Oryctolagus cuniculus: one gene and its partners. The protein of the gene in region 5 interacts with the protein of the main gene of each other region in a pairwise test. Links are inferred from orthologs where the notes say so. Each region holds a gene or a part of one and is shown on either strand. Other genes may lie near its edges.

Region 1 (4,079 bases), on a different chromosome or scaffold from region 5:
TCCTGCCCCATGACCTAGACCGAAGTGGAACTGGATTTATGCTTCATCTCCCTCAGTCTTGATGGCTATGGGGAGATGGATGGAGGCGGGGGGAACGAACAAGGGCAGGCAAGGCGCAGTCTTCTAAGGATAACCTGACCCAGCTTAGATTGGTTTCTCTGCTGTCAGTCACTCAGCTCCAGTCAACCAGGAATACATTTACTTTGGCCCCTCAGCAGGTGTCAGCCGGAGCGGCTTTCCAGAATGTGGACCACGCTGGCTTCAGGTGCCAACACCACAGCTGCCAAATTCCTAGAAGACACTTAAGACCAGGTCCTTGACCCCCCTCACCCACAGAGAGTCCATCAGGGACCCCAGGCCTCACCCACAGAGAGTCCATCAGGGACCCCAGGCCACGCCCACAGAGTCCACCAGGGAGGCCCAGGCCACGCCTACAGAGCAGTCCACCAGGGAGGCCCAGGCCTCGCCCACAGAGAGTCCACCAGGGAGGCCTAGGCCTCACCCACAGAGAGTCCACCAGGGAGGCCCAGGCCACGCCCACAGAGTCCACCAGGGAGGCCCAGGCCTCGCCCACAGAGTCCACTGGGGAGGCTTCATTTACGCTTCTTCTCTTGCGTGCTGGTGAACCAGGCGTCCAGGAGCTTCTTGCTGTAGTATAACTGCCACGCATGCACTTGCACCGCCAGCACCAGCACCAGGTACATGACGGAGACAGCAGAAAACCCGAAGAGGAAGCGGTAGGCTTTGCCGTGGCGGTAGAGCTGCTGGGCAGCGGGGAACATCTCCATGCTGCCATAGATGAGGGGAGCGATGGAGAAGAGCCCCATGCTGATCATGGAGAGCACGAGGTAGCTGATGTTGTTGCGCGGGAAGGAGAGGAGGCCCAGGAGGGAGGGCACGACGCTCAGCAGATACGGGTACTCCCACTGGTAGGGCATGGCCACCTGGTCATGCGACAGCAGCCGCAGGTGTCCCACGCTCATCTTGGCCACCAGCAGCAGCCACAAGACCAGATGCACGTAGATCAGCTTCTTGATTTCATACTTGAGGGTCACACTGTGGGGCAGAGCACAGGGAGAGCACCTTTCACTCACGTTTTTCTGACCACCACCTGCACGCTAGGCGACTGTACTGGATAATGATAGAAATGGGAGTAAGACACAGACCCCGGGGGCCGGTGCTGTGGAGCCCACATGGGCGCTGGTTCGAGTCCCGGCTGCTCCACTTCCGATCCAGCTCTCTGCTATGGCCTGGGAAAGCAGAAGATGGCCCAAGGCTTGGGCCCCTGCACACATGTGGGAGACCTGGAAGAAGCTCCTGGCTTCATATTGGCGCAGCTCGGGCCGTTGCGGCCATTTGGGAAGTGAACCAGCGGATGGAAGACCTCTCTCTCTCTTAACTCTGCCTTTCAAATAAATAAATCTTAAAAATGTAAAAAAAAGTGAAGTGAGAAAGTTCTCATATGGTCCATGAGCTATGGGCTCACAGGAAGGCAGAACAGCTCTGTGTGGGACGAGGAGTAGGACAAGGCTGTCCAGAGGGAGGCATTTCAGCCAGGCTCTAAGGATGCTGGAGACGGGCCCTGCACGCCCGGGCACGGACATTCAAGTACCGGCCGTCCGCACTGGTGCTCCAGGAAGTCAGCAGCTGAGCGGAGCCAGGGCCCGCTGCGGAGACTAGGAAGGCGCGGGGGCAAGGCCGAGCCACACCGCAGGCTGGAAGGAGGCACCGGCCAGGACATCGGCCCGGCCTGCCACACGTCTGCAGCCAGCGTGGACGTTCCAGCCAGGGGAGGCACACGTTTCCCCCATTCTCCCAATTCCTCCAGGCCGCAGAGGCAGCTGCCCGCACCCCCAGGGGCAAAGCCGCCGCTGAGACCCAACAGTGAAGACCCCTGCCTGGGTTCTAACGCGCGCTCACAGCGGGGCCTAAGGACGGGCGTGAACTCGGCGTTCAGAAAAGCCGGTCTAGGAAAACACTTGCGAGGAACATTCTAGAAAGCTCAGGGGCCTTAAAGATCTACGCTCTATTTTTATTTTAAAATGCCGTAGGGAAGCAGAGAAAAACGCCGGCTTCTTGGACTTCGAGGACCAGAGCTGACGGCCAGGTCCACCGCACCCCGGCGCCCACCTCCACGCCACGCGAAAGCCAGCGACCGCACGAACACGGAGACGCCTCGCCCGCGCGCCGCCCGGTCCACGGCCACAGTCCATGTGGCAGGTGCCCACCACCCCAACACTCGCCAGCTCCCCACCGAAACCGCACACGCGGGCCATCTGCTCCCGCTACGGGCGAGGAACCTGAGGCTCGGCGACAAAACCAAGTTCTCAAGGTCACACACGCGAGACGGCAGCCGTGGCTCCGACCGCGGAGCCCACGCGGGGCCCGAGCCCCCTCGCCACTCGGGCCGGACCACGGGGCGGCGCTCGCGGGGGCCGCTGGGCTCCGCGGGGTTGGCTGGGGACGCGACCGAGGCCGCCGCGGAAGGAGGGGACCGGGCGGGCCGGCGGGCGGGGGCTGGCCGGGCTGTCAACCCCGGGGGCGCCGGCGTCGCGCGCCTCACCCGTACCTCATCTGGTAGTGCGTGGCGACGCGCTCCCGGTGCTGAAAGTCGCTGCCGTCCGTGCCGGCCGCTCGCGGGCCCGCCCGAGACGCCATGGTCCCTGCTCAGCACCCTGGAGCCCACAGCACAGCCCGCCGCCGCGACACCCGCGCCAACAGTTCCGCCAGCCCCTCTGTCGCCGCCTCGGTGCAGCCACACAACGGCCGGGCGGAAGTGCCGGGCACTTCCGGCCTCTCTGCCCACGCTGGGAGGACCGTCTCTATGGCCCCGGCCCCACGGAGGAGCCGGGAACCCTGGGTAGTGCCCCGCCCCGCGAGCAGAGCCGCAGGAAGTGAGTCCGATGCCCCTATTCCCATCACGGAGCCCGGGAGCTGGATTCCTGGAAGGCTTTATGCCTTTCCCAGCACACATCTTCCCGTCTCAGAAGTTTCCCTCCAGAGACCACGTAATCATTGCAGGGGCTGGAGCTGTGGCTTGCCGCCTGCAGTGCGGACATCGCATGTAGACGCCGGTTCGAGTCCCGGCTGCTCCACTTCCGATCCCGCTCTCTGCTATGGCCTAGCAAAGCAGTGGAAGATGGTCCAAGTGCTTGGGCCCCTGCACCCACGTGGGAGACCCAGATTGATTTCCTGGCCCCTGACTTCCGCCTGATACAGCCCCAGCTGTTGGAGGCGTTTGGAGACTACCAGTGGATGGAATCTCTTTCTGTCTCCCCTTAAAGTGAATAAAAATTTTAATTAAGTAGTATAGGGGCCGGCGCTGTGGCATAGTGGATAAAGCTGTTGCCTGCAGTCCCCACAACCCATATGGGCACCAGTTCGAATCCCAGCTGCTCCACTTCAGATCCCACTCTCTGCTATGCCCTGGGAAAGCAGCAGCAGATGACCCAAGTCCTTGGGCCCCTGCACCCACATAGGAGACCTGGAAGAAGCTCCTGGCTCTTGGCTTTGGAACGGCTCAGCCCCAGCTGTTGTGGCCATTTGGGGACTGAACCAGCGGATGGGAGACCTCTCTGTCTCTTCCTCTCAAATAAATAAATAAAATCTTTAAAATTATATTTCATTGTCCAGAAACTTCTTGAAGTACCCTCACATAGATAGAGAGGGAGGGGAGAATGAGAGGGGAAAGACAGATACATTTTTTCACTGGAATATTAGTTGCAATGTACTTCCCCTATGTATTGTAGGTCATTTGACTTCGCTCCTTGTGCTGAAGTTTAGCATATGAGGCATCTCTTAGGTAGCCAAATGCAGGCTTCTTTCCCGCTCCATTGAGCACAGGTGGAGTCCGTCTCCACTCGCAGGTGTTGAGAATCTTGCTCCTACGTTGCCTCCCTCCCTGGAATGTGAATTCCTCAAAGGTCAGGGGCCAGATCTGTCTGTCCCCGCGCAGGCACAGTGCCTGGCATGCTGTCAGCGTTCAGGAAACGTTTGCTGACTTCCAACTGAGCCCGGGGAAGCATCCTGTCTGGCTCTGGCTTCTGCTGTCTGTCCCTGTCAGCGCTTGGATTTCATCA
Region 2 (4,164 bases), on a different chromosome or scaffold from region 5:
AGGCGCAGCGCGCCAGGCCATGGCTTCCATTTGGGGAGTGAACCAATGGAAGGAAGACCTTTCTCTCTGTCTCTCTCTCACTAACTCTATTAAAAAAAAAAAAAATCAAGTCCTAAAGGTCATAATTGGAAAAATTTAAACTTATTTGAAACAAATGAGGTCCAACAATTTATTTTAAAGAATTATTTCTCTTATTATGTATCACTCCTTTTAAAAATACTACTGTATGGCAATCTATTTACTGACTTCACAATCTTCACACATAAGCATTACAACTTTAAATCCTCCCTAGAGAAAGTAGGTTTTGCATTTCATTTAAATAAAATGTGAACAAAAACTGACTTTAATTAACACATGTAAGTATCATGGCAAGCAACCACTTTGCAAATAACAAAGACTCTTGCTAATTATCTGTGTGACCTTGTCAAGTCATGATTCTCATGTCTTTTACCAGATTCCTCTATTCTGTAATTCCAAATTTTAAATCTTTAATTAACAGGCATTTAGCAATAGGTTTTATTTTTATTAACGCAAAGATAATATAGGCCGTGAGTACTACATAAGAATTTATAAGCAAACACAGGTGGCTGTAGCCTAGTTTTAACAAGTAGGTTTGTAGAGTCAAACTAATCCAGCATGTTTAAAAATTCAGATTCCTCAAGTCACAAGGCAATCAAACTAGGCAAGAAAATGCCAAAGGCTCAGTACTTTCTATTACTAGTACTAGAGAAAAACAACCAAACAACAACAAAACACACTCAAATTCTCAACTGACAGTGTGTCAGGTATTTAATACCAGTATATCCTTAACACATAAAACTATATTCTTCAACCAGATCAATGTTTTGGAAAAAATCAATAATATCTAAGTCAAGAAATTATTCTTGATCCTTTAAAAAAAAAATCTGCCTCCTTTCGTCTGACAACTCAAGTTGGCAGAAACTAAAAAAAAACATTTTGCCAGTTGACCTAACTCCTAAAGAAAAAATACCACCTTTTTTTTCATCTTGCCTGATGACTGGCTATTTGGAGAAAGTTTCCTTGTCAGCCTCTTAACAGACAAATCACAAAAAAATCTTCAAATGTTTAAGCGCCATTATTTTCATTTTGTCCCAACTTACATTACATTAGCTCATTTGACACTTAAACTATAAACCAAAAATAGGACTTAAAATGGTCCACTTTAAGATACACAAGGCCAAAACAAACATGATCAAAATCTATTTTTAGAGTGCTATTCACTCTTCAAGTTTTCTCTTTAAAATGAGGTTTACTTGAACTATTTTCATGCGTTTTCACAGCACCCAGACTCTGAACACAAATATCTGCTAGTCAAAAAAACAACAAACTCAACATCACAAATCCTATCTGTGGGGGTCATTTTCTGTGTGTGTCCTAACATGCTTATTCAAAAGTCTAAATATAGATGCACTTACTAAAATGTCCAAGGTCTTCCAAAATCTGTAATTATATACTGCTTTCAGTGCCAACGTTATACATCCACTTCCCACTTAAAAGTGTACACTACACGTACGGGGTCCGGTGGGGGTTGGGGAGTTGCGGGGTCCCTGGCACCTGAAATGTCAATCACAGGAAGAACAAAGCGTTTTCTATCCTTTCTTGGTTTTCTTCTCCCCTCAGTTCCACAGTTTCAATATAAACCAACAGGAAACAAGACGTCCCAAACTTGAGAAAGAAGGGCTCACTAAAATGGCACTCGGACAAGAGAAATATAAAAACAGGGACGGAAATGATGAACATGAAAAAAAAAAAAAAAAAAAGCGAATCTAGTTGCCAACATGTGTGTGTATAAACTTAATCCTGGAGTTACTCCCTGCGGGAAAGGACGGTGCCCTCTCCACACCCTCAAAAAGCAATGCTGCAGCCTCTCAGAAAACAAAATAGCGACCAGAAGGCAAGAAAGACCAGCACTCTCGGACCAACTGGACAGCAGGGAGGGACCTCCGCACCCGGCAACCAGAACAAAGCAACCACCTCCGCCGAGAAGCCGCAGGGAGGTCGGGCAGGCTCCGAGGCTCTCGGAGCTCTCTCGCGGTCCCCAAGAGTCCACAGCCGTCCAGACAACCGTGAATGTGCAGCGCTGAGTCTCGCCAGGACAAGGTGGGGCAGCTGCTCCCTTCAATGAGGCAAGACCCAGACGCTAAGCAGAAGCAGCAGTGGTGGGGAGAGAGAGAGAGAAAAAACAGCAGCCCAAGGCGCTCGGGATCACACAAAACGCGGGCACTCCATGTCCTAGCTTGCATCGGACCCCAGGCCCAAAGTCTCTGACTCCACACGGGGAACAGGTAACCCCTAAAGCATCTGGGTCCCTGCACCTTGAGGCCAGCAGGTCCCTCGGCAGAGGCCTGACCCCACGGCCGAGGAAGAGGAGAAGGACCCGGCGGCCACCAAAGACGGCGACGCGGACCCGGTCGAAGAGGCTGCGCAGTAATGGCCGCTGCCCTGCCTCTCGCACCTCGGCCCAGGCCAGCTCCGGCATCGCCACCGCAGGGGCTGCGGCCAAGCGGCCATGCAGAGGCCGTCACAGTCTTCGTGCCTGCGACAACAGCCTGAGCGGGGGCGGCAGGGAGGCCGCAGGGCCCCTCCCGCCTCCCGGCCACAGCAGCTACCGAGCCGGCCAAGGGCGTCCATCTACGTACCGGGCCCTGACCCCGCCGCCGCCCCTCTCCGGGCCCGACAGCAGGCCGACCGGGGCGCGTCGAGCCTGCCGGAGGCACCGCGAGTCGTGCCTCTTCCCCCCGAGTTTGGATCCCGGAGCAGCGGGCCTTCGCCGTGACCTCCGCGAGGGCGGCGCCTCGACTCCCTCCTCTCCGGCCACAGCCCCGGCCACCTCGCCGTCTTTTCTCTTCGGCCTCGGAGCCCGCAGCGGCCGGGGACGCGCGCGACCGTCACGTGACCGCCCGGCGCGTCGCGGGGGCGGGGCCGCGCGGGCCGGAAGTCGCGCCTCGCGCTCGCAGAGCTCGCGCCCGAGCCTCCCGCCGCGGGCCCAGGCCCCGCCCTCGAGCGCGCCGCCGGTACCCGCCCTCTCCACTTGCGGGAACCCGCCGTCCAGCTGCTTGGATGCTCCTGATCTCTTAGGTTTTGCCTTACTCGTATTAAGGGCAAGGAGCCCTGAAAGCGTGCAGATCCTCAAGGGAGAGATATTGCGTAGGGGAAGTAAGACGCGGGCACTACCAGCAGGTGGTGCTATTCAAAAATCCAATTTAAGACCCCAGAGAAGCCCTGGGGCGCCTAGCTGAGCTCTGGGTTGAAGACCCCTTCTGAAAGTACCGCTTGTTCTCTCAAGAAATAAAACCTTCTGAATGGCTGGGCAGTTTATGCAGAGGGGAAAAAATGGATTATAACCATGTTTTGGACCAATGCTTCTTAATAGAATCGAGCTAAGACGCCAGAGGAAGAAATTAATCTTCGCAAGAATCTGAAATTAAACGGGCAAAATGAATGCGAGCATGTGGTTTTAAACTTCAAAACACTGGCCGTGTTCTCCGTTTTAGCACCTACATTGCGTTTTTCCGAAACTGACTAAATGAGCTTGATATGTGGTAAAACGAACGAACAGGAGGGGAAAACGTGTCCTTTATCTTGAGTATATATTTCAACCTTCCACTGCAATGTCTTTCAGTGATGTTGCATTTTTGAGATTAGTGGGTGCAAGATTGGAAATCTTCCATGTCTTGATACATATAGAAAGCTGTACATTTTCCGTTATTCCCCTGAAATAGTTTATTTTGGGATCCTAATCATGGGTGAGGGGCATTCAAAAGGTACATGGAAAAAAATCACTTTTCTTTTAATGCCATTTCGACGAACTAGTATAGAATACTAATGAAGTCAATGTCCTCCAACTTTAATTCTCTACCTTCTTAGCCACCCGGTTTTACTCCTCTATCCTACACAACCCATGAACAGATAATGTACTTTAAGATTTCTGCTTGAAGAGAGAATTCTAATATTAACTAACAATTGGTAGTTAATGTGCTTTACATATATAACCTCATTTAATCCTGACAGTAAACCATGAGGTAGCTACTATTATTATTTCATTTTACAGAAACAGGCACCCATCTGGGATTTAACTTCAGTGGGAGGCTACAATAGAGTTCAGCTACTCCAGTTCTTCATATTATTAATTAGGAAATGGAT
Region 3 (4,097 bases), on a different chromosome or scaffold from region 5:
TTACTCATATTTCTGGTTAAGTTCTTAATCTTATAGAATAAACATAAACATAAGATGAAAGGATAAACACAGTAAGAGAGGCAGCTATACAAAATAAGGTTAATTTCTACACCAAACTTTGTGCAGTCAACTCTATACACACGGGAATAGGGCAAAAGTGCTTTACAATGGCCAAGAGAACACGACTACCTTGGATTGCTTACCAGTGCCCCCTGCCCATCTAAAAAGGACCGACGGGCTGGCATCAAGCAGGGAACATGGTAGAAACAGAATGGCATGAGGCAGTTGATTCAGAAAACGCAACAGTATAATTCAAATACAGGCTACTAGTATGAGGAAAAACAACCCAGGGCTTCATATTGGCTCAGCCCCCAGGAGTCAATTAAAAGTAACTTATTCTCCCCCCATCCCCTCTCTTTTCTTGTCCCCCTTCTATTGAGACTGTACTATAAACTATTTGGAGTTACTCAATTTTAGCATCCTCTAAATTTCCCTTCTAGTGAGACAAAATGGATTCAACACTACTCTATCATACCAGATGGATTTACAAAGTGAAGTGCTAAGAATGTACTTCCAAGGTCATTTCTAAGATTGCACTGAGGCTGCAATATCCGCTGTAAGAGAGCTTAAAGCATACTACGTCACGCCAGCATTCGTACTTCTCCCAGCCCTACCTCCGTCTGCCTTGGTTTCTGTGACCTATTCTGGCTCAGTGAGAGAGGGAAATCAACTCCATGCCAATGAGGTACAGAAAGTGCAAACCAGGGTTCAGTCTTTCACAATCAACTACTGTGTGTCACTCTCATGGTGATAGCCCACATCTGGAAGATGCTTCCTTTCTGAAGACTGCTCCTGCGCTCCATGCTATCAGAGCCTGGTGGCTCAGCTGAGACAGACTGGGATCATAAAAGCAGATGGAATTCTTACACAGCATAAACTCCCCTGAAGTATCTAAGCAGAAGGATAGAGAAGTAGCTCTTCAGGGCCAGGGAACACCTAAACAACCCAGGACAACCAAATGCCCCTATCTTAAATCTAGCATGAAAAAAGTTCACATTTTAATTATTCTCCTAATACTTCCCTCTTTATTGATTCCTGAGACCCCGGGAAATAGGATTATTTTGGACAGAAGGGAAGACTTGATCTGATTTTCCAAGTGACTTTGGACTGCTTTAAAGTGAGAGAAAAGAAAGTCATCTCTTTTGTAGGAATACATTTCAATTATTCATCACTGTGGGGTAGCATGAATCAGATCTACTATACTATGACTTATGCAGAAAAAAGTAATTTTTTAAAATCATAATAAGATAACTGGAGTAGTTATCTCCCCCACATGTGTAAGTAATGTCAGGGAGGGGAAATCTGATATTAGTATCTATGCCATTGGAACTATCAAAAAAAAAAAATGGACATCCTGATGACAGGATGGCAATTTCAGTGAACCATATCCAAATCAAACATTCCAAAAGCTCTAAATAAAAAATACTAGAAAAAGTGTGCAGAGCATTTATTTCAATTGTAAAAGACATGTAATTAATGTTTCATATATTGCTGCCCAGATGAATAAAGCGACTGTGAAATTCAAGAAAACAATCAAAGCACAAGGAAACTCCAGATCTAACTACAATGCTGGACTTCAATTTGGCCCAGCTCCACTTCAGCGACTAGAAAGATGCGAGTCGGATACAGGTCTTTATTCTGGTAGCCCTTGGGCATCTCTCCTGAGCATTCCATAGCAGAGGACAGTATGGTCTTCGAATCCAGGCCCTCCAAGTCCTGGGTTCTTCCTAATTAAAGCTAAGAACCATTATGCTAGAAAAAACAAGACTGCACCAGCCCCAGCGCCAACGCCATCTCCTAGCTGGTCAGGCAGACGGAGTAGCCCGGTTTCCTCCCCTGTCCCTGCTCCTTGTGGGTGGGGCTGGCGGAGGAGAGAAGAGGGTGTTGAAGAGGTGTTTGGAAGTCAGGAAACCTCCTCATCCGTCCTTTCCTTTCTCCTCGCTTAGAATGGAAGGTCAAGGGCAGACAGACCAAAACCAGACAGTAGATTTTGCATAGGGAGACAACAGACCCAACAAACACGCACTCATCTGGAGGTGAAGCCTCCCTTTCCACTTCTCTCCCGTCCTCAGACGCCCATAACGAGTCGCCTCTGTCTGGGTGAGGGGAGCTGCCTCTGTCTGCGGCGAGGAACCCAATTAGGCGCTAAGAATAAATCGGAAGAAAGGAGAGCCGAGGGCAAGAGGGCAGGGTAAGGTCTCCTTTCCAACCCGAGCGAGACAGGCAGGGCAGAGGCGGTGCGGGAGCTAGGGTAAGCCAAGAAAACCACGACGAGATCCGAGGGAGACCCAAGCAGGGGGTGCGGGACGCAGAGGAGCCGTGACCGGGCGACACAGGGGCGGCGGGCAGCGGCGGGCCGGGCCGCTGACTCAGTGAAAGCGGCAAGGCTCGGACCCGGGAGGCCGCACGGCGCGCGGCGGACGGCAGCAGCGGGGGTCCCGAGGCGGGCGCGGCCGCGGGGGCTCACCGTGTCCTTAGACGAGCCCAGCTTCTTCAGGCCGTCCAGCGGCAGCAGGTCGGCCGAGTCCTTGTGGATGAACTGCACCGCCTGCTTCATCCGGCGCTGCTGTCGCAGCGGCGCCGCCTCCCGCATGTCGGTCTCCTTGCGGCCACCCTCGGTGAGGAGCCCTGAGTAAAACATCGTTGAGGCGCCGCGGCCCCGGGGCCCCGGCGCGCTCGGATCCCCGCGCCCTCAGCCTCGAGCTCCTTCCAGCGCAGGCGAGAGCCGCGCGCCGCGCTTTTTGTAGCCGAGCGTGACGTCACGGGGAGCAGCCAGTGCGCGCGCCGGAGGGGCGGAGCTGGCACAGCGCCCCCGCCCGGCGCGCCGCCTTGTCCGGAGTCCAGCGTCCGCTTGTCGGGTCCCGAGCCGGCCGGCCCCGGAGTCAAGCGAGCTAGGAGGGGACGGCTCAGGCTGCCTGAGGTGCTAAGCGCCACCCAACCGCCCCTTTCCGGGTGGGTGCCCCGCATCACCTGAACGGGGTCAGGCTGTGGGACCCAAGGTGCGAGCAGCCTCTCCCACGCTAACCGCCCCCCCCCCGGGGTCCCCCGCTCACCTGTCCACACTGTGACCGACCCGGGGACCACGGACAGTTGGGCCATGCTGGCGCCCCGCCGCGCGCGCCGCGGCTCTCCTCGGCCTTCGCGTCCCCTCCCGGGCTCCCGGCGCCCTCTGCCCAGGGCACGGGAAGGCCAGCGGCAAGCTCCGAAGGTGGGAGGGCTCGGATTTCTTCAACTTCAGATCGGTCCCCTCCCACTGGACCACGTGACTGGAGAGAGGGCAGCTCGTGTGGACTGGCCAGAGCCGGCTTTCTCGGGACCCTCCTCTTCCTGACACCCTGTGCCCTCAGCAGGACCCCTGCGAGGCCCAGTGTTGGGGAGGGTCCCCGCCTCCACGGAACGCACGCGATCGGAGCCCTGCACCTCCCGGGAGCATCCACAGAGAAGCACTAGTGTTTCTCAGCCAGCGCTAGGGCGTACCTTCCGGAGGGTCTGCCACCGGTCTCCCCGGCATCCTTGTGGGAGCATTTGGACCCCCGTATTTCTTCGTGAATCGATCTCATACTTTCAAGCCATTCTTATGGGTTCTGACCTCATCGTTGTGACTGGATACAAGCCAGGGTACGTTTCCACCTGGGGGACACATGGCAAGTACCCTCTCCACCCCGCGTCACAGGAGCAGCTTGAGCCAGAGAGATCTGCACTCCGAGGAGGACCAGAGGACACGCTCGGAGCCTCTGCTCTCTGCTCTCTGCTCTCTGGTGACAGCTCAGGAAGGAACTGTTATCATTATCATGTCTACAGGTGAATGGCTGAGACCTGCTCGAGGGCTTCCTGAGGACTCCCTGGCTGGGCTTGGCTCCTGTTCTCTGCCAGAGTCATCTCAAGCAACCACCTCCAAAGGCTTTGGTGGCCACGGTGAGAAAGACCCGCGTTCTTGCTTGATGTGGCCTCACCTACCCCTCCTCTCTGTACTTAGCCTCATGAGCCTTCTAGTTCCCTGGGCGAGCCGTGGTCCCTCTGGCCAAATGGCCTGCCCT
Region 4 (3,500 bases), on a different chromosome or scaffold from region 5:
GCTTAGCCTACTAAGCTACAATGTGGGCTACCCTTCCCTCCAAAAATAAATCATTTTTTAAACACTCTTCTCTAGTAGCTTTATTCTTACAATGTCAGAGTAAATTTCAGACTAAAATCTCAAAATTCTACAATCAAAATCAATCTGCCTAGAAGAATGCTGAAGTGATGAACAGTGAAGCTCATCACTAATTGCCATGATTCTTCAAATATTCTTAATTAGATCATTTAACAACCGTACATCAGAGGATAATGAACGTTTAACAGAAAACTGAGGTGTAGAACAGGAAAGACTGATGAAAATATACACATGAGACAGAATCAATGTTTCCTTTGCAGAAATTCATGTTATCTTTCAAGGTCTGAAGTGTACATCTCAGGGCCAGTGCTGTGGAGCAGTGGGGTAAGCCTCCGCCTGAAACAGCAACATCCCATATGAGCACTGGTGTGAATTCCAGCTGCTCCACTTCAAGCTGGCTCCCTGTCAATGCACCTGGGAAAGAGTTTGTGCCCCTGTGGCCTACATGGGAGACCCGGATGAAGCTCCTGACTTTCGCCTGGCACAGCCCTGGCTGCTGTGGCCATTTGGGTAATAAACCAGGGATTGGAGATCAATCAATCAGTCTCTCTGTGTCACTCCCTAAAACTCTGCCTTTCAAATAAAAAAATTTTCTTAAACTGCACATCTCCTTTAACCAGAAATTCATTTTAATCCTTTACTAGTCACATAACTGAACAAAGTTATATATGTGTAAGAATGTCTTTTAAAGCATTATTTGTAATAGTGAAAGGGAAGGAAGGAGGAGGAAGGAAAAATCAAAGGGGAGGAAGTGGGAGGGAACCAAGGAAGAAAAGAGGCAGCGGACAAAGAGAGAGAGGAAAACCCCACAGTCTTGGAGCAAAAACAACAAAATAGCTCCCATAGTGAAGAAGCAAAAAAATAGAAAGTCCTACATCCACAATAAAGTATAAAATATACTCAATAAATGTCTGCTGACTGATTCTCTACTTTATGTAGAAAAAATTCATGATATCAGCTCTGATGACCAAAGAGCTTGCCATAAAACCCTCCAGACATGAGGTTATGAGGTTTCTTTTTTTTTTTTTTGGACAGGCAGAGTGGACAGTGAGAGAGAGAGAGACAGAGAGAAAGGTCTTCCTTTGCCGTTGGTTCACCCTCGCAGCCGGTTTGCTGTGACCAGCGCGCTGCACTGATCCAAAGGCAGGAGCCAGGTGCTTCTCCTGGTCTCTCATGGGGTGCAGAGGCCAAGCACCTGGGCCATCCTCCACTGCACTCCCTGGCCACAGCAGAGAGCTGGCCTGGAAGAGGGGCAACTGGGACAGAATCCGGCGCCCCGACCGGGACTAGAACCCGGTGTGCCGGCGCCGCAAGACGGAGGATAATTAGCCTAGTGAGCTGCGGCGCCGGCCCAAGACATGAGGTTTCAACAACAACAACAACAACAAAAAAAAACTGGGTCACTCTAATTTACAAATGGTATGTGGAGAGGCTTGCGCTCTGATTCAGATTTTATCAACTTCTTGAATGACTGACAGCCACGTTCAGGAATGCAAGGACAAATATGACCACTTGGAAATCTGTATTATTATTGTTCTTTCGAAGAGTGAAAACTACAAACTTCCTTCTAATAAAAAATGTTAAGCAATTCCATAACCAATCACAGACTAACCACAGACATGGCACTCTAAGAAATGAGTAACCTCTATTACCTTTCCCGTGCTCTGTAAAATCGTTGTTCGTGTCCTCCACACTCTCTCCCTGCTGACAATATCTCGAGTCACATCTACCTCGGCGTCTACAAAACTCCTCTGTTTGAGGGCAGTGATGTCATCATCTAGATCAGTTTTGATAGTAGATCTTTTCTTAGCCATAATTTTGGCTTTGATTGCAGCAATTTTTTCCACTGACATGGCTTCAGATAAAGACCTAAAATCAAATTCCTTTTTAAATTTTCAAAGCAAGAATTCCTTGAGCACATCACAAATACATTGTTACAATTTTCTAGTAAAAACACTTTAAGTAACAACAATTAAAGCCTTCTTTCTATAAAAATGACATATTTTGTACTCTTACAAGATTTTAACACATAAAGAAGGTTCATGCAGATATACTACTGTGAGTAAATTAATAAATTCCAGAAGAAACAATGCAACAAATGTCTTTATATTTATCATTTCCCTCCAAAAGAGCAGTAACTCATTAACATGAGTGTTTTCTTTGTATTTTTTGAGACTTTGTTAGTTAACCCACATCTATTCACAGAAAATAAACATACATATCGAGGCCAGTTGTTAAGAGGGTCCCAGAAGAGGAGTATGAAATTCATTATATAAAGACTTCAAAATTATAGGTTTTCTTGAAATTTATTTCAAGGTTTCAAAACCGTATGTCACAGGGTACAACATATACATAGGTGACAAAGGCTTTTATATACCACAGAAACACATACCCCTTTTAAACTCTGGAAGAAACCATAGTTTGAACACTTTATCTTCCCTGCATCTGATTTTCAAATAGCCAAAACAGCAAAGAGAGACAGGCTATATTTTCAGAACTATGTATAAAAAGCGACTTAATACTTAAAGTACAGATTTTGTAAGATGAATCTTAAGCAAAGTGTCTTTTTATATAATAAGATAAAAAGAATTAAAAAGTGTTTGAGTACCTTATTAAGAGTAGACAAAAATATTACTTTAGCCACAAGATGAAAATCTTGAAATATGTTTACACAAAATCTGGAAAAAGGACAGAAATTCCTGCAGGTTTAAATACAGCAGTATTATAAAGTAAACTAATTTTATTCAGATTAGGTATGAAGATACTTTATAGCAGATGATCAATATGGGTATGGTGGTATCTGACTCATTTTGTGTGACACTGTGCAACATTCCCCTAAAATCTAAAGCACCTAGAGTCAAGTTCAAATGCTCTTCTAAACTATAATCAAGCCTGCACTGGACTTGGTATCACTGGACTTTATTTCCAGCCACACTAAAACAGAGTGACAGGATTAACCTTCCTGTCTTAAATTACCAGTGAAAATGACAAGACACCAGGTTTAAAGGATATTAGATTATCAAACAGTGTAGAACAGTGATTTCCTGACAAATGAGAAACCAACAAGGTGAGCCCTTGGTGGCTTCCGAGATAGGGCATTAAGAAGAGAGCCCACAAAGACCTCAGAGAACTCCCGATTTGAGGGAATGCAGCTGGGGCGACAGCAAGACCAAGGTGGCGAGAATTCACAGGACAAAACACATGAGAAGAGAGCTACACAGATTCCTTGGAGTATTCCAGTAGAATACCAATTAGTACATGAAGATAACGAAATCATTTAAAGCTGGGTAAAGAATCAATCATCCAATGGAATTAAAGAGAACAATGCCCAGTGCTTACACAGAGTGAAGAACAGTACCTGTTCCCACCATCCAGATTAAAAGCCTCATATTCTCAGGGCATTAGAAAGCATATTATTCCCC
Region 5 (4,171 bases):
CTGACAGACGGCTGTTTCCCCTAAGGTTTGGCGGTGGCAGCAGGGTGGCCATGGGCGTGGGAGGCGGGGAGCTGCGGGGACCGGGAGGGCATTCTTGGCCAGGGCTCAGCACAGGCACAGGCGACAGCTGGCCTCCCCAGTGCACACACCCCAGGGATACAGACCGGTGGGCGGGCTCACGGGAGGCGCTCGGTCCATCACTGCTCCCTTCCTCCCACCCTACATCTGTGTGGAGGTTCAGGTACCCCAAGCCACCGCTCCCAAATCCGAGTCTCGGCCTGGTGCCCCTTCACCCCCAGCTCCCCTGGCGCGGAAAGGGGCCCAGCCACCTACTTTGTGCTGCAGGGCCACCAGCCCGGCTCTCCGGCAGGTCCATGGGCCTCCCTGGCTACTCCACGGCTGCTGGAGAAGCTAGCAGCCCCCTCCCTCGCCGGGAGGGAGAGGATGGGGCCTAGCAGCTGAGCGCTCCTGGAGGGACAAGCAGGGCAAAGCCTTCTCAGAGCGACACCAGGCACCTGCGCCGCGGGCCACTCCACGTCCTCAGAACCTGTTTGCCACCCCCGCCTTTACCCACGGCTCCAGCTCCAACCTGTTTTATGAACTGGTGGTGTGGGCTGGCAACACGTGGGCGGCAGAGATCAAAGGGGCCTCGCGGGTGGGGGTCCCAGCCTCCCCTTGGGGAGACCCCTGTGCGGCCAAGTCCCCAGTCCTATCCCTTCTCTCCACACCTCTGCCCTGCCTGGACTCATCCCCCATCCCCCAGCCAACCAATCCGGCCCCACAGAGCCCCAGAGCTGACCCGTTCCTCCCCGAACCGACGCCTTCCACGCCCGTCAGCACCCTGGGCCGGAGCCTGGCTGGACTTGGTGACAAGGCCCTGCTTACCCCCCTCCCGGCCCAGCTGTCCTCACGGCCGAGCCTCTGCCTGGGACGCCCGCCTCGCCTTCCTGCGTTGGCTCCCTTGTGCCCTCTGGAAACCGTGTCCGGTCTCCACCCCAGGCTGAGCCAGGTGCTGCGTCTGGGTTCCCACATGGCCCTGTGCAGCTGACACCTTGCCACGCACGTGCTGGCTTGTGTGGCACCGCCGGCCTCTCCCGCGCCTTTGGGCCCTCTTTCCCCTGCCTCAGCCCTTCCGGGGCTCCCTGGACCCCTGCACTGGCTGGTAGCCCCTTGGCTGGAGCCGCACGGAGTGGTTATTCCATCTCCTCAACTCGTTTTTCCTCCTCTAAAGTCGATAGTGTGGGTGTGTGCTGGAGCTGGGGGTGGGGCCAAAAGGGAGAGCCCCCTCCCACGCGCTGGTTCAGCTCCCAGATGCCTGCGACGGCCAGGGCCGGCAGGGCTGACGCTGGGTGCCCCCCCCCCCCGCCCCCGCCTCCCAGGGTCTGCACCGAGTCAGGAGCCTGAGCCCAGGACCAGACCGACCTCCGCTCTGGGACACGGTGACTTCACGGCTCCGGGGGACCCCGTGCCCTTGACCTTTCTCAGCCGAGCCTCGGGGTCCCTCAGCGTCACTACGTGCAAGCCAGCTGCTCCCCCAGGTTTCCACTCGGGGTGACCCACGGTCCTCCGAGGCCCGGACACACAGCCCAGGCCTTCTGCTTACCGCTCGGGGTCAGGGGAGGCTTCCCGGAGGCCACGGGCCCTCGAGGGCCTCCCAGCTCTGGCTGCCACCTCCGCCCTTACCGTGCAAACTCCAGGACCCTTCCTGGACAAAGCCCCCGAGCCCCGTGCCCACCGCCCGGATTCCGGCTGGAGAGAGGCCCCCTGTCTTTCCCCTCCCCTTCCCAGCCTCCTCTGCGGTTTAAGAAGGTTCTGGAAAAGGTGGCGCGGAGGGGGAGCCTCTGCCAGGGGCTTGGCTCACAGCACGGGGGTAGGGGTGGGTCAGGGAGTTGGGGGTGCAAAGGTGGGGAGGTGTGGCCCTGTGAGCTGGGAGCAGCTTCGCGGGCTAGAATTTGGGGTGCGCTTGAGAGGACTCCGGGGCGACGGCGGCCTCTAACAGGATTTTGACAGGGAGGCTCTGACAGGTTCGGAGGGCCAAGTCTGACGGAACTTCTAGAAGATTCGGACAGGCTGTTAGGCGTCCCTCGCAAGATGTCCTAGTGGGTCTTGGTCAGGATTTCAAGTGGGACGGGGAAGGTCCGGGTACTGGCGGGTTCGGGGAGGGGCTCCGCAGGGCTACTGTGGGCATCTCCACACAAGCAGGGCGCACCTGGAGTCCTCTTCCAGCCTCAGGGCGCCGCCGACGGTCACCAGCACGAACCGCGGGAAAGGGGTGCGCCGGCGTCGCCCGCCACAGAACAGCGAGCACACGGGCTGCGCCCAGGGGGCGCTCGCGCGCGCCCAGGCCCCGCCCCGCCCCGCCCCCGCCCGCGGCGCATGCGCGCAGGGGGGAGGCGCGCGCCTCTCCGGGCAGTTACCTGTGCGGGCGAGGTCGCGCATGCGCAGGGCTGCCCCGGCGGCCCTGTGGAGCGAGCGCATGCGCGCTGGCAGGGTGGCTTGGCCCGCTGCAGGGTTTAGCGCTGGTGGCTGTAGGGCGGGCACGCCGGGTCCCTCCTGGTTGGCTCCGAGCGTTGATGAAATAGGGCCGAGCAGGGAAAAGTCGGTCTGAGCCGCCAAGCTGTGCCCTTTCTGCCCTCTGTTCGTGCCAGGCGGCCTGGCGTCGGCGCCGTCACAATGATGGCTGGCCCATCTCACCCCAACCCTCTCACTCCGCGCCCTTTCGTGGCTCAAGTCGCGCTGTGTTTCTGTAGGTCCCTGAAGGCTTCTTTTCCTAACCGTCTCATTCATTCCTTTTTGGAGAGGATGGAGTTAAGCATACTCTTGACTTTTCTTGCTGGAGAGACTAGTTACTCCCAAGAAGGAGCCTGGAGGCAAAGGATATCCCACCTGTGCAGCCTCTCGGCCAGTCCAGAGCAGGGAGGAACCCCTCTTCTGCACGCCGTCGCTCATCCGACCATCGTTTCGCCCAGCTGTCGCTTCAGAGAGGCCTCGCTCTGCACCCCTGGCGCCCTCCACCTTACAAAGAAAAATGGCGGTGCTGGCACAGCAGGTTGAGCCGCAGCCTGGGACACGGGCACCCCTATCCAAGCGCCTACTGCAGTCCTGGCTGCGCCGCCGCTTCAGATCCAGCTCCCTGCTGATGCCCCTGGGAATGTGGGAGACCCGACGCAGTTCCAGGCTTCAGGTTCAGCCTGGCTCGGCCAGGCAGTTGCTGCCATTTGGGGAGTGAACCAGCGGATGGACGACGTCTCCGTCTCTCCCTCTGCCTTTCAAATAAAATAAAAATTGTTGAATGAATGAATGCATGCATGTGGAGTGACGCAGTCCGGCATTCCTGGATCTGAATTTTGGCTCCAATGCTTCCTATCTATGACCTTTGCAGAGTGACCCACCTGCCACTCAATTTTCCTCCCAGAATGGAGTTGCGTTGATGGCACCTTGGGTGGCAATCCAGAGCTCCTGGGAGTTCTGTGTTAACTGGTGGTTATTATTTTGATGAATAGAAAGGGCTTGTTACAAGGCTGGGAGGAGTCTGTTTGGCAGGTGGTATGAGGAGTGGTGAAGTGCACGAGACAAGGGATCAGATAAACCTCCAGCCATTGCTGTGTGGTCTTGGCAAATGACTTCACCTCTCTGAACCTCGGCTTCTATAAATTGGGACAAATAATGTTTACAATAAGCATGTGTTTTTTCTTACTGCAGACTGGCATGGTGGTGGCCCCCTTAGCTGTATCAATAGTCCGTTCTTCTGGGGTGGGCATTTGCACAGTCACTCCTTGGGACACCCTCACCCCCTATCGGAGTGCCTGCCTTGAGTCCCAGCTACTGTGCCGCTGATCCGTCTTCCTGCTAACACGCACCCTGGGAGGCGGCGGGTAGCTGAGTCCACGCCAACCAAGTGGGGTACCTGCAGTGAGTTCCTGGTTCCTGGCTCCAGCCTGGCCCAGCCCTGGCTATTGTGGGCATTGGGGAAGCTCGCTCTCTCTGTCTTTTTCTGTACCTTTTTATATACTTACAGATTTTATTTTATTTTAAAAATTATGTTTTAAGATTTATTTATTAGGCTGGCACCGCAGCTCACTGGGCTAATCCTCCGCCTTGCGGCGCCGGCACACCAGGTTCTAGTCCCGGTCGGGGCGCCGGATTCTGTCCTGGTTGCCCCTCTTCCAGG
Region 6 (4,150 bases), on a different chromosome or scaffold from region 5:
GTGCCCACTCGCGGTCAGTACTCCCACTCGTCCGACTTGAGGTCCAGGTAGCTGAGGATGTTTTGCGCCAGCTTCACGGCCTGCTTGCGCGCGGCCTTGCACTTCTCCTCGCCCTGCGGGTCGACCGCGTCCAGGGCCAGCAGCTGCTTGGTGAGCAGCTCCTCCAGCCGGATGTAGTTCTTGTCGCTGCGATTGCCGTCGAAGGACAGGACCTCCCCCTGGATCTCCGACAGGTTCCCCAGGACGCTCCAGACGGCCTGGTGGGACGGGTGCTCGGCGCCCACGCTCTGCTTCCTCTTCTCCAGCGCCTCCTTCAGGTCCACGTAGGTGACCAGCGTCTGCACCTCGATCACCGCCCGTCTGCGCGCCTCCCGGATGCAGGGGTTCTTCTCCAGGCTCACCTCGTCCAGCTGCCCGATGAGGCCCTGCAGCTCCGTCTTGGAGCTCAGGTACAGCTCGGCCGGGCTCTGCGCGCGCAGAAGCTCGGCCCTGACCTCCCGCGTCCTGGCGCGCACCTTCTCTATCTCGAGGATGGACTGGTTCTGGCCCAGGTCGAAGGCGCGGGTCGTGTCCGCCTCCTCCTCCAGCTCCAGGTACTTGAGCAGCTTGTGGATGTCCTCCACCACCTCCCTCCGGTAGTTCCTGATGTCCGGGTGCCCGGCCACGTCCAGCGCGTCCAGGTCGGCCAGCAGCCCCGAGAGCACGCAGGACAGGTGCCGGCAGGTCTCGTCGGCGCACACGCCCATCAGCAGCGCGACCACCGTGCCGCGGGCCTTGCTCACCGTGCACATCACGGCGTTGATCCTGGCGACGCACGGGTGCGCGTCCTCGGACAGCGGCAGCGACGGCTGCTTCCGCAGGCAGTCCTCCAGGATCTCCTGCACGGCGCACACCCTGCTCAGCGCGCGGTAGCGGGCTTTGCGCAGCGAGACCTTGCCGCCGGTCTTGACGTGCGTCAGCCGCAGCACGATGTCCTGCAGGCGCTCCTCCACCTCGTCCGCGGCGCAGCCTCCCCCGCTGTGCAAGGGCGCGATCTCGTCCTGCGCCAGCGCCTGCGCCTCGCGGAACAGGTTCCGGATCTCCAGGCGGCGCGGGTGGCTGGCGTTCTGCTCCAGCTCCTTGAGCAGCCGCTCCGTCTCCTGCGCCGCCCGCTTCCGCGCCTGCTGGACGTCCCCCCTGCCCTCGGTGTCCACGGAGTCGATCTCGAACAGCTGCCGCGTGAGCATGCGCTCCAGCCTCCGGTAGGCCTTGTCGTCCGCCAGCCCGCTGAAGCCCAGCACCTGCGGCTCCACGGCCTTCACCTCCCGCTGGATCTCCTGCAGCCTGCTGATGGCCGGGTGCTGGTTTCCCATGTCCATGCTCCGCTGCCTGGGCTCACGAGCGCTGCGGGGCGACAAGAGAGCTCATTCAGAGCGGCCGCCGGCAGGTCCGCGGACCCCGGCCGGCAGGCCCAGGGCCAGCCCGAGGGGCCGCCCGGCCCGCGGCACAGAACAGCCCGCAGGGCACGCCCGGGCCAGCAGAATGCGGGACAGGCCCCGCGACGGGGCCCCAAGCTCCGCCGGGGCTCCCCGCCCGGGACAGCGCCCACTCTGCCTGCACTGCCTCCCACGAGGGCCCGCGGGCGCCGCCGCGGGCCCGGGCCTCCCTCCCTCTCGCACTTTACCCGGCGGAGGTCCCGGCTCCCCGGAGGCGCGGCGGCGAGGTGGAAGATCAGCCCTTCACCGGGTGCGGCGGCGGGGCCGGGCCCCTAACGGCATCCCCTTCAGCCCCCCGGCTCGGTCTGGACGGGGCGGCCGGTGAAGGGGCCGGCGGCGGCGGCAGCTACTGGCCGCAGCGGCCGCTCCGGGCGTCTCGGCCCCGGGCCCCCGGCTCGCCGCCGGCCCTGACCTCACAATGGGCGCGCGGGGGAGGCCGAGGCCCGGGCGCCCCGCGAGGACGGGCGGGAGGGGCGCGGAGCGGGGCCCAGCCCGGCGGGGAACCCGGCCAGGCGCGGCCGCGTGGGAGCCCGTGGGGGGGAGCAGGGTGGCCCGGCGGAGCCCCGCGCCGGCGCGCGCGCGGAGAGAGCAGACGCGATCGCCGGCGCCCCCGCACCACTCACCCGCGCCATCACGCGCTCCGCTGCCGCCCACGACTTCCGCAGAGCCCGCGGCGCCCCCGTCCGGGGCCGACCACCCCCAAGCCCTGGGAAAAGACGGCTCCGCGCCCGCGCCTCACCTCGAGCCGCGCCCCGGGCCTCTGGGACGACAGGGATCGGGGAACTGTCGCCGGCGTTCGCCCGCGCTGCCCGGTCCCGGCAGGCCTCCTCCGCGCCGCCCCGTCCCCACAGACCCCCTCCGCGAGCCGTGTCACCGCGGGAAAAGCGCGCGGTCGGCCCCTCCGCGGCGCGCCCGCCGGCTTTGCGACCCTGCCGTAAGGCAGCCCCGCTCGCCGTCGCGAACGCCGCCGGGTGCCGCGGGAGCAAGGTGGGCGCGGCCCCATGGCGGCGGTGCGGCGGGCGCCGCGGACCCTCGTCCCGCCCCTCTGCCGGGCCTTCGCGGGCGGCGGCGGGCGGCGGGCCCCGGAGCGCGGTGCGGAGCGCAGGGAAGCAGCGCCGAGCGGGGTAAGCGCGCTGCCGGGGCTGCCGGGCCGCCCCCGGTCTGGCGCCCACCGCCGCGGTGCACGGACCTGGTGTTTGCCCGAGGGCGAGTTCCAGAAGCGCCCGGAGGGGCTCGGCGAGTGGCTGCGGCCGCGGCGTGCGGCCGGCCGTGCTTGTCCTCAGGCGCTGGCGGGCCGGGGCGGTGAGGCCGGCGCGGAGCCGGGCCGGGCAGTGGTTACGGAGCGAGGAGAGGGGCGGTGAGGCCGGCGCGGAGCCGGGCCGGGCAGTGGTTACGGAGCGACGAGAGGGGCGGTGAGGCCGGCGCGGAGCCGGGCCCGGCAGTGGTTACGGAGCGACGAGAGGGGCGGTGAGGCCGGCGCGGAGCCGGGCCCGGCAGTGGTTACGGAGCGACGAGAGGGAGCCCGCTGGCCGTTGCGACACTTTGGGCCTGCGGGTTTTCGTGCGGCCGCCGCCCCGACTTCCGCTCCCACGCGCGCACACCCACCAGGCTCGCGGGTGTCTGGGGAGGATTCAGCCTCTGAAAGGCGCTGGCGGGGGCAGCCGTGTAGCAACGAGAGGGTTGCGCGGGGTGCGGCGTTTCCGCGGCCGGTTTGGGCGCCGGTGCCAGCGCCGCAACAGGTCCCGCAGGCTGCTTGCTGGAGAACCGGACCCGCGCAGGGGCTGTGCGGGCCGTGTGGTCAGGTCCTGTGCGGGCCGTGTGGTCAGGGGCTGTGCGGGCTGTGTGGTCAGGTCCTGTGCGGGCCGTGTGGTCAGGGGCTGTGCAGGGCCGTGTGGTCCGGGGCCGTCTGGGACTGTGTGGTCCAGTGGCGTGCAGGGCCGTGTGGTCAGGGGCTGTGCGGGCCGTGTGGTCCGGTCTGTGCGGGCCGTGTGGTCAGGGGCTGTGTGGGGCTGTGTGGTCCGGTCTGTGCGGGCCGTGTGGTCAGGGGCTGTGCGGGGCTGTGTGGTCCGGTCTGTGCGGGCCGTGTGGTCAGGGGCTGTGCGGGGCTGTGTGGTCCGGTCTGTGCGGGCCGTGTGGTCAGGGGCTGTGCGGGCCCGTGTGGTCAGGGGCTGTGCGGGCCGTGTGGTCAGGGGCTGTGCGGGCCCGTGTGATCCAGTGGCGTGCAGGGCCGTGTGGTCCGGTGCTGTGCAGGGCCGTGTGGTCCAGGGCCGTCTGGGGCTGTGTGGTCCGGGGCCGTCTGGGGCTGTGTGGTCTGGTCCTGTGCGGGTCGTGTGGTCGTGTCCTGTGCGGGCCCGCGTGGTCCAGTGGCGTGCAGGGCCCGCGTGGTCCAGTGGCGTGCAGGGCCGTGTGGTCCAGGGCCGTCTGGGGCCGTGTGGTCCGGTGCTCTCCGGAAGAGGCAGGGCAGAGCCGGAGCCGCTTGGCCGCGTCCAGCATTGTGACCCCCGCCGTGTGCTCGGGGTCCGAGTGTCCGTGCTGCCGGGTGTTGGAGGGAGCTGGGGAGCCGCTGTTGCCCAGGGCAGTCGTGTGTGCTGGGCCTGCTGCGGGCGCCCCAGGTCGGGTGTTCCCGAGGGCGCCTTCCAGGGTGAGTACGTCTCTCCTATGTGTCCACATCTCTC
Region 7 (4,127 bases), on a different chromosome or scaffold from region 5:
TGTACTCCCGCCTTTGCATTGTGCCTGCAATCAGCCCGAGCTCACGGAATGCAGGATGACGAGGCCAGGGGCCTCTGCTGAGCCGAGAAACGACTCCAGGAGAATGGAGAGGAGGAAGGCCTTAAGGAGACGTCAGCCTCCGCACACGGGAAGCCCTGACACTGAGAGGCAGGCAGAGATCTCAATCACAGACGAACTGTGAGGCCCACAGAAAGCAAGGCACGGCTTAGACATTTAAAAAATCAATCCAACCTCTGGTCACTGTTAGCTACCTCTAGAATAAAAAACATCTAAGTCAGACGTTTTTCTCAACCAATACTGTTACTGCCCTCCCATTCCCTCAACCCACCCACAGCGACCCAGGTTAGTATCACCTGTTTGCTTAGACCGGCTATTCCCTCAGTCACAAACGCCTCCCCCTTCCCTCCCCCAGGCCAATACAAGGAATGGGTGTGCTTACAGAGTGGTTAGTATATGCAAGACACTGCCAAAACTGACTTAGGGGCTGGTGCCGGGGCACAGTGGGCACAGCTGCTGCCTGCAGTGCCTGCATCCCATATGGGTGCCGGTTCGAGTCCCGGTTGCTCCACTTCTGATCCTGCTCTCTTCTCTGCTATGGCCTGGGAAAGCAGTGGAAGATGGCCCAGGTGCTTGGGCCCCTGCACTTGTGTGGGAGACCCGGAAGAAGCTCCTGGCTCCTGGCTTTGGATCAGCACAGCTCTGGCTGATGTGGTCACCGGGGGAGTGAACCAGGGAGTGGCAGACCTCTCTTTCTCTGCCTCTCCTTCTCTGACTCTTTCAAATAAATAAATCTTTAAAAAAAATTGTATTTTTTTTTGAGGGCCCTATTCACATACTATTTAGTCCATGAAGTTGTCTTGCTCTTCCCTAGGGAAATGGTGCTTTGTAACATCCCTACTTGTTTGTTAACACAGTGTGAGGGTATGATTAGCCCTGGCAACAGACTGTGAGACAGATTTTTTTTTTTTTTTTTTTTTTTTTTTTTTGACAGGCAGAGTGGACAGTGAGAGAGAGAGACAGAGAGAAAGGTCTTCCTTTGCCGTTGGTTCACCCTCCAATGGCCGCCGCACCGCGCTGATCCGATGGCAGGAGCCAGGAGCCAGGTGCTTTTCCTGGTCTCCCATGGGGTGCAGGGCCCAAGCACCCGGGCCATCCTCCACTGCACTCCCGGGCCACAGCAGAGGGCTGGCCTGGAAGAGGGGCAACCGGGACAGAATCCGGTGCCCCGACCGGGACTAGAACCCGGTGTGCCGGCGCCGCAAGGTGGAGGATTAGCCTATTGAGCCGCGGCGCTGGCCGATTTTTTTAAAACATTTATTTTTTTTTTTTTCTTTATTTGAAAGGAAGAAGCAGAGAGGGGGGGGGGGGCGGAATTTTCCATCTGCTGGTTCACTCCCCAAATAGCCACAGGGCTGGGCAGGGGCTGGGCCAGGCCAGAGTCAGGAGCCCAGAGCTTCTTCCAGGTCTCCCACATGGGTGCAGGGACCCAAGGACTTGGGCCATCCTCAGCTGCTTACCCAGGCCATAGCAGAGAGCTGGATCGGAAGTGGAGCAGCTGGGCATTGGAGACTCAACCTGCTATGTCATGACGCCGGCCCCATATATAGGAGATTTGAGGGACTTCTTGCTATGTATCCTCAGTATCTGTCCATGGTACATCGTATGTGCTCATTAAATATTGAAGTAAGTGGAAAATTAACGTTAGGGGAACAATGTACATGACTGGGCAGTCTCTTGGGACACAAAACCGGGTGGGATCCAGGATACAGGAAAATAGATGCATCAACTTGTCAAAGGAAGAGGAACGTCCCCTCCCTTGGGAGGACCTCCAGATAAGCCTGGACGGATGGAAACGCTCAAGGTCTGTCCGAATTCTCCCAAGTCGCAAGGGCACCGTCTTTCCTGAATCTCCTGGAGGCGGCCCGCGCCCAGCTCGTCCTCCCTGGGGTTCTCCCCCTGTAGGGCGTTTGTCTGTATACATATTTTCTCCTCAGTCTCCATGTGGCATCACCCCGCATCACACACGACACACAATAATCACTCACTCAATGCGGGTCTACTGCATGCGTAAACAGGACAGGAGGAGAAGGGCGAAGGAGAGGGCAAATTTGAGAAAGAGGAGCTTGCGCCGCGGAAGCCAGTGACGAGTGAAACCTGCGGGCCCACAGCTACACGGTTTAAAGCGAAGGCAAGCAGGAGCCCTCGCGCCCCGGATCCCGCCCTTAGGCACGGGCATCCGCCGGCTCGCCTTCCACCTGGACCCGAGGGCCTCCCTGGGTACCCCGCGGCTGTCCTTCCCAATGCCTGACTCGATTCTGAAGCCAACCTTCCGCAAAAGCCTACGCGTCCTCGCCCGTTGCGTGAGGCCGAACCTCTCGCTACACTTGGCCCGACTCTGCCGATCTCGTTTCTTGTTCCCCTTCTCTAATCTCGCAACCACCGCCAACAAGGCGTGCCCGCGGGCGCCCTGGCCGGCTGTGCAGGGAGGTCCTGCGGCCGGAAGCCGGAAGCCGGAAGCCGGAAGGGGGCTGTGAGGACGTGTTCCCAGGAAGCCAGCGCTGAGGCCGGCGACATGGAGCCGCTATACCAGCAAACGCACAAGTGAGGGCCGCGTCGGGGGGCGGGCGGGTGTGGGGCCAGGAGAGGCCAGCCCCCGAGGCTGCGGGCTTGGGCTTCCGCCGCGGTGGACATGGAGTCCGCCGAGCGTGACTCGGAAGCGCAGTCCCGGGCGGGATGCCCAAGTCAGCCGCGAACTCGGGGTCCCTCCTGGAACCGGGAGCCGTGAGGGTGGACGGCTCCTGGGGTCTGCAAGCTCTGACTACCTGCTGGGTAGGCTGAGTGAAGGGAAAGTCGCACCTGCAGGTTTTAACACTTGCCACCGTGGCGCTCGTGGGGAGACAGTGAGGGGGTCACGACCCCTGCCCGTAGGAGTTCTGTTTGGGTTAGGGTCACCTGTGTTCAGGGCTCATAGAAAAAAAAGCATTTTTATTCCGGTGTGACTGAACTAAAGACCGCATTTTTAGTTAAGAAATTGCTGTAAAGTAGTTGTTATTGCTTGTTTGTCGTTTCTGGTTACGGGTTACCTTTAAGGAAATCGAATTTTGACTTAGCTTCCCATAACTTAAATTCGTTGGTAGTGTGCTGTATTCACATTGTTCTGCATTTTGGGGGGACTTGCCGAGATAGGTAGTTGGGGTTGGTAATAAGGGCCATACTTATTCTGGGTTTTTTTTTGGGGGGGGGGGCTTATGATCTATTTCTTATTGTGGTTAAAATGTAGCATAAAGCTTAACCAGTTTAGCCATTTTTCAGTGACGTTAAGTGTGCTCACAACTCACATCACCATTATCCATTTCTAGAAGGTTTTCATGATCCTGAACAGAAACTCTGCCTGTTAGGCAGTGACCCCCTGTTCCTCTCTTCCGGAGCCCCTCATTCAGTTCTGCTTTCTGTTTCTATGAATTTCCTATTCCAGACACCTCACCTATAAGGATTGCACGGTGTTTGTCCTTTGGTGTCTGACATATTTCACCTACCTACCGTGATGTTTTCAGAATTCATCCATCTTGTAGCATGTATCAGAATTTCACTTAAATTTTTCCCCAAGATTTCATTTGTTTTTACTTATTTGGAAGAGGGGGTGAAGAGAGAGCGCTCCCTTTCACTAGTTCATTCCCCAGTGTCCGCGCAGTGGGGCCTGGGCCAGTCGGCAGCCACGGGCCAGGAGCTCAGTCCACATCTTCTACAGGCCTGGCAAGGACCTCACTACTTGAGCCACCGCTGCTGCCTCCCAGGGCAGCTGGAATTGGGTGCGGGCATCCCAGGCAGGGTCTTCACAGCTGCACCAAATGCTGCCCCTCCTTTCTTTTTGCGTTTGAACACTGTTCCATTGTATGTGTAGACTACGTGTTGTTGCCGTCCATTCCTCTGCTGATGGACACTTGGGTTAGTGAGAATAATGCTGAAATGAACATGGAAGTGCAGGTGTCTTTTAGCCCTGGATTTTTATTTGCTGAAGTTTATATTTTGAGAACATTCACATTGATGCTCCAGTTCTGTTGTAAACACGGGGCCTGGGAATGAAGTGAAACATGCAGCCAGGCTCC

What was found.
Region 1: the proteins of KASH5 (region 5) and JAGN1 interact in binary tests that used the Homo sapiens proteins (3 or more experiments, as listed by UniProt). The two-hybrid records come from large-scale screens. The link is inferred for Oryctolagus cuniculus from reciprocal best matches to the Homo sapiens genes KASH5 and JAGN1.
Region 2: the proteins of KASH5 (region 5) and RNF146 interact in binary tests that used the Homo sapiens proteins (3 or more experiments, as listed by UniProt). The two-hybrid records come from large-scale screens. The link is inferred for Oryctolagus cuniculus from reciprocal best matches to the Homo sapiens genes KASH5 and RNF146.
Region 3: the proteins of KASH5 (region 5) and NRIP3 interact in binary tests that used the Homo sapiens proteins (3 or more experiments, as listed by UniProt). The two-hybrid records come from large-scale screens. The link is inferred for Oryctolagus cuniculus from reciprocal best matches to the Homo sapiens genes KASH5 and NRIP3.
Region 4: the proteins of KASH5 (region 5) and CDC73 interact in binary tests that used the Homo sapiens proteins (3 or more experiments, as listed by UniProt). The two-hybrid records come from large-scale screens. The link is inferred for Oryctolagus cuniculus from reciprocal best matches to the Homo sapiens genes KASH5 and CDC73.
Region 6: the proteins of KASH5 (region 5) and BAG5 interact in binary tests that used the Homo sapiens proteins (3 or more experiments, as listed by UniProt). The two-hybrid records come from large-scale screens. The link is inferred for Oryctolagus cuniculus from reciprocal best matches to the Homo sapiens genes KASH5 and BAG5.
Region 7: the proteins of KASH5 (region 5) and GOSR2 interact in binary tests that used the Homo sapiens proteins (3 or more experiments, as listed by UniProt). The two-hybrid records come from large-scale screens. The link is inferred for Oryctolagus cuniculus from reciprocal best matches to the Homo sapiens genes KASH5 and GOSR2.

The regions. Positions count from the first base shown.
Region 1 is NC_091441.1:116,853,426-116,857,504, forward strand, and holds the start of JAGN1 (protein jagunal homolog 1), read right to left. Parts: upstream 2,801-4,079; 5' UTR 2,659-2,800; coding exon 2,570-2,658; intron 1,057-2,569; coding exon 594-1,056; 3' UTR 1-593. UniProt on the Homo sapiens protein: Endoplasmic reticulum transmembrane protein involved in vesicle-mediated transport, which is required for neutrophil function.
Region 2 is NC_091436.1:42,374,779-42,378,942, forward strand, and holds the start of RNF146 (E3 ubiquitin-protein ligase RNF146), read right to left. Parts: upstream 2,801-4,164; 5' UTR 2,661-2,800; intron 1,576-2,660; exon of another isoform or gene 1,437-1,575; intron 1-1,436. UniProt on the Homo sapiens protein: E3 ubiquitin-protein ligase that specifically binds poly-ADP-ribosylated (PARsylated) proteins and mediates their ubiquitination and subsequent degradation. May regulate many important biological processes, such as cell survival and DNA damage response.
Region 3 is NC_091432.1:57,211,001-57,215,097, reverse strand, and holds the start of NRIP3 (nuclear receptor-interacting protein 3), read right to left. Parts: upstream 2,801-4,097; 5' UTR 2,702-2,800; coding exon 2,528-2,701; intron 1-2,527.
Region 4 is NC_091444.1:9,863,496-9,866,995, reverse strand, and holds part of CDC73 (parafibromin), read right to left. Parts: intron 1,948-3,500; coding exon 1,731-1,947; intron 1-1,730.
Region 5 is NC_091449.1:8,012,000-8,016,170, forward strand, and holds the start of KASH5 (protein KASH5), read right to left. Parts: upstream 2,801-4,171; 5' UTR 2,418-2,800; intron 2,375-2,417; exon of another isoform or gene 2,210-2,374; intron 469-2,209; 5' UTR 377-468; coding exon 334-376; intron 1-333. UniProt on the Homo sapiens protein: As a component of the LINC (LInker of Nucleoskeleton and Cytoskeleton) complex, involved in the connection between the nuclear lamina and the cytoskeleton.
Region 6 is NC_091451.1:46,388,092-46,392,241, forward strand, and holds the start of BAG5 (BAG family molecular chaperone regulator 5), read right to left. Parts: upstream 2,801-4,150; 5' UTR 2,665-2,800; intron 2,600-2,664; coding exon of another isoform or gene 2,477-2,599; exon of another isoform or gene 2,408-2,476; intron 2,376-2,407; exon of another isoform or gene 2,099-2,375; intron 1,806-2,098; exon of another isoform or gene 1,664-1,805; intron 1,384-1,663; 5' UTR 1,359-1,383; coding exon 15-1,358; 3' UTR 1-14. UniProt on the Homo sapiens protein: Co-chaperone for HSP/HSP70 proteins. It functions as a nucleotide-exchange factor promoting the release of ADP from HSP70, thereby activating HSP70-mediated protein refolding.
Region 7 is NC_091448.1:17,823,574-17,827,700, forward strand, and holds the start of GOSR2 (Golgi SNAP receptor complex member 2), read left to right. Parts: upstream 1-1,327; 5' UTR 1,328-2,593; coding exon 2,594-2,622; intron 2,623-4,127. UniProt on the Homo sapiens protein: Involved in transport of proteins from the cis/medial-Golgi to the trans-Golgi network.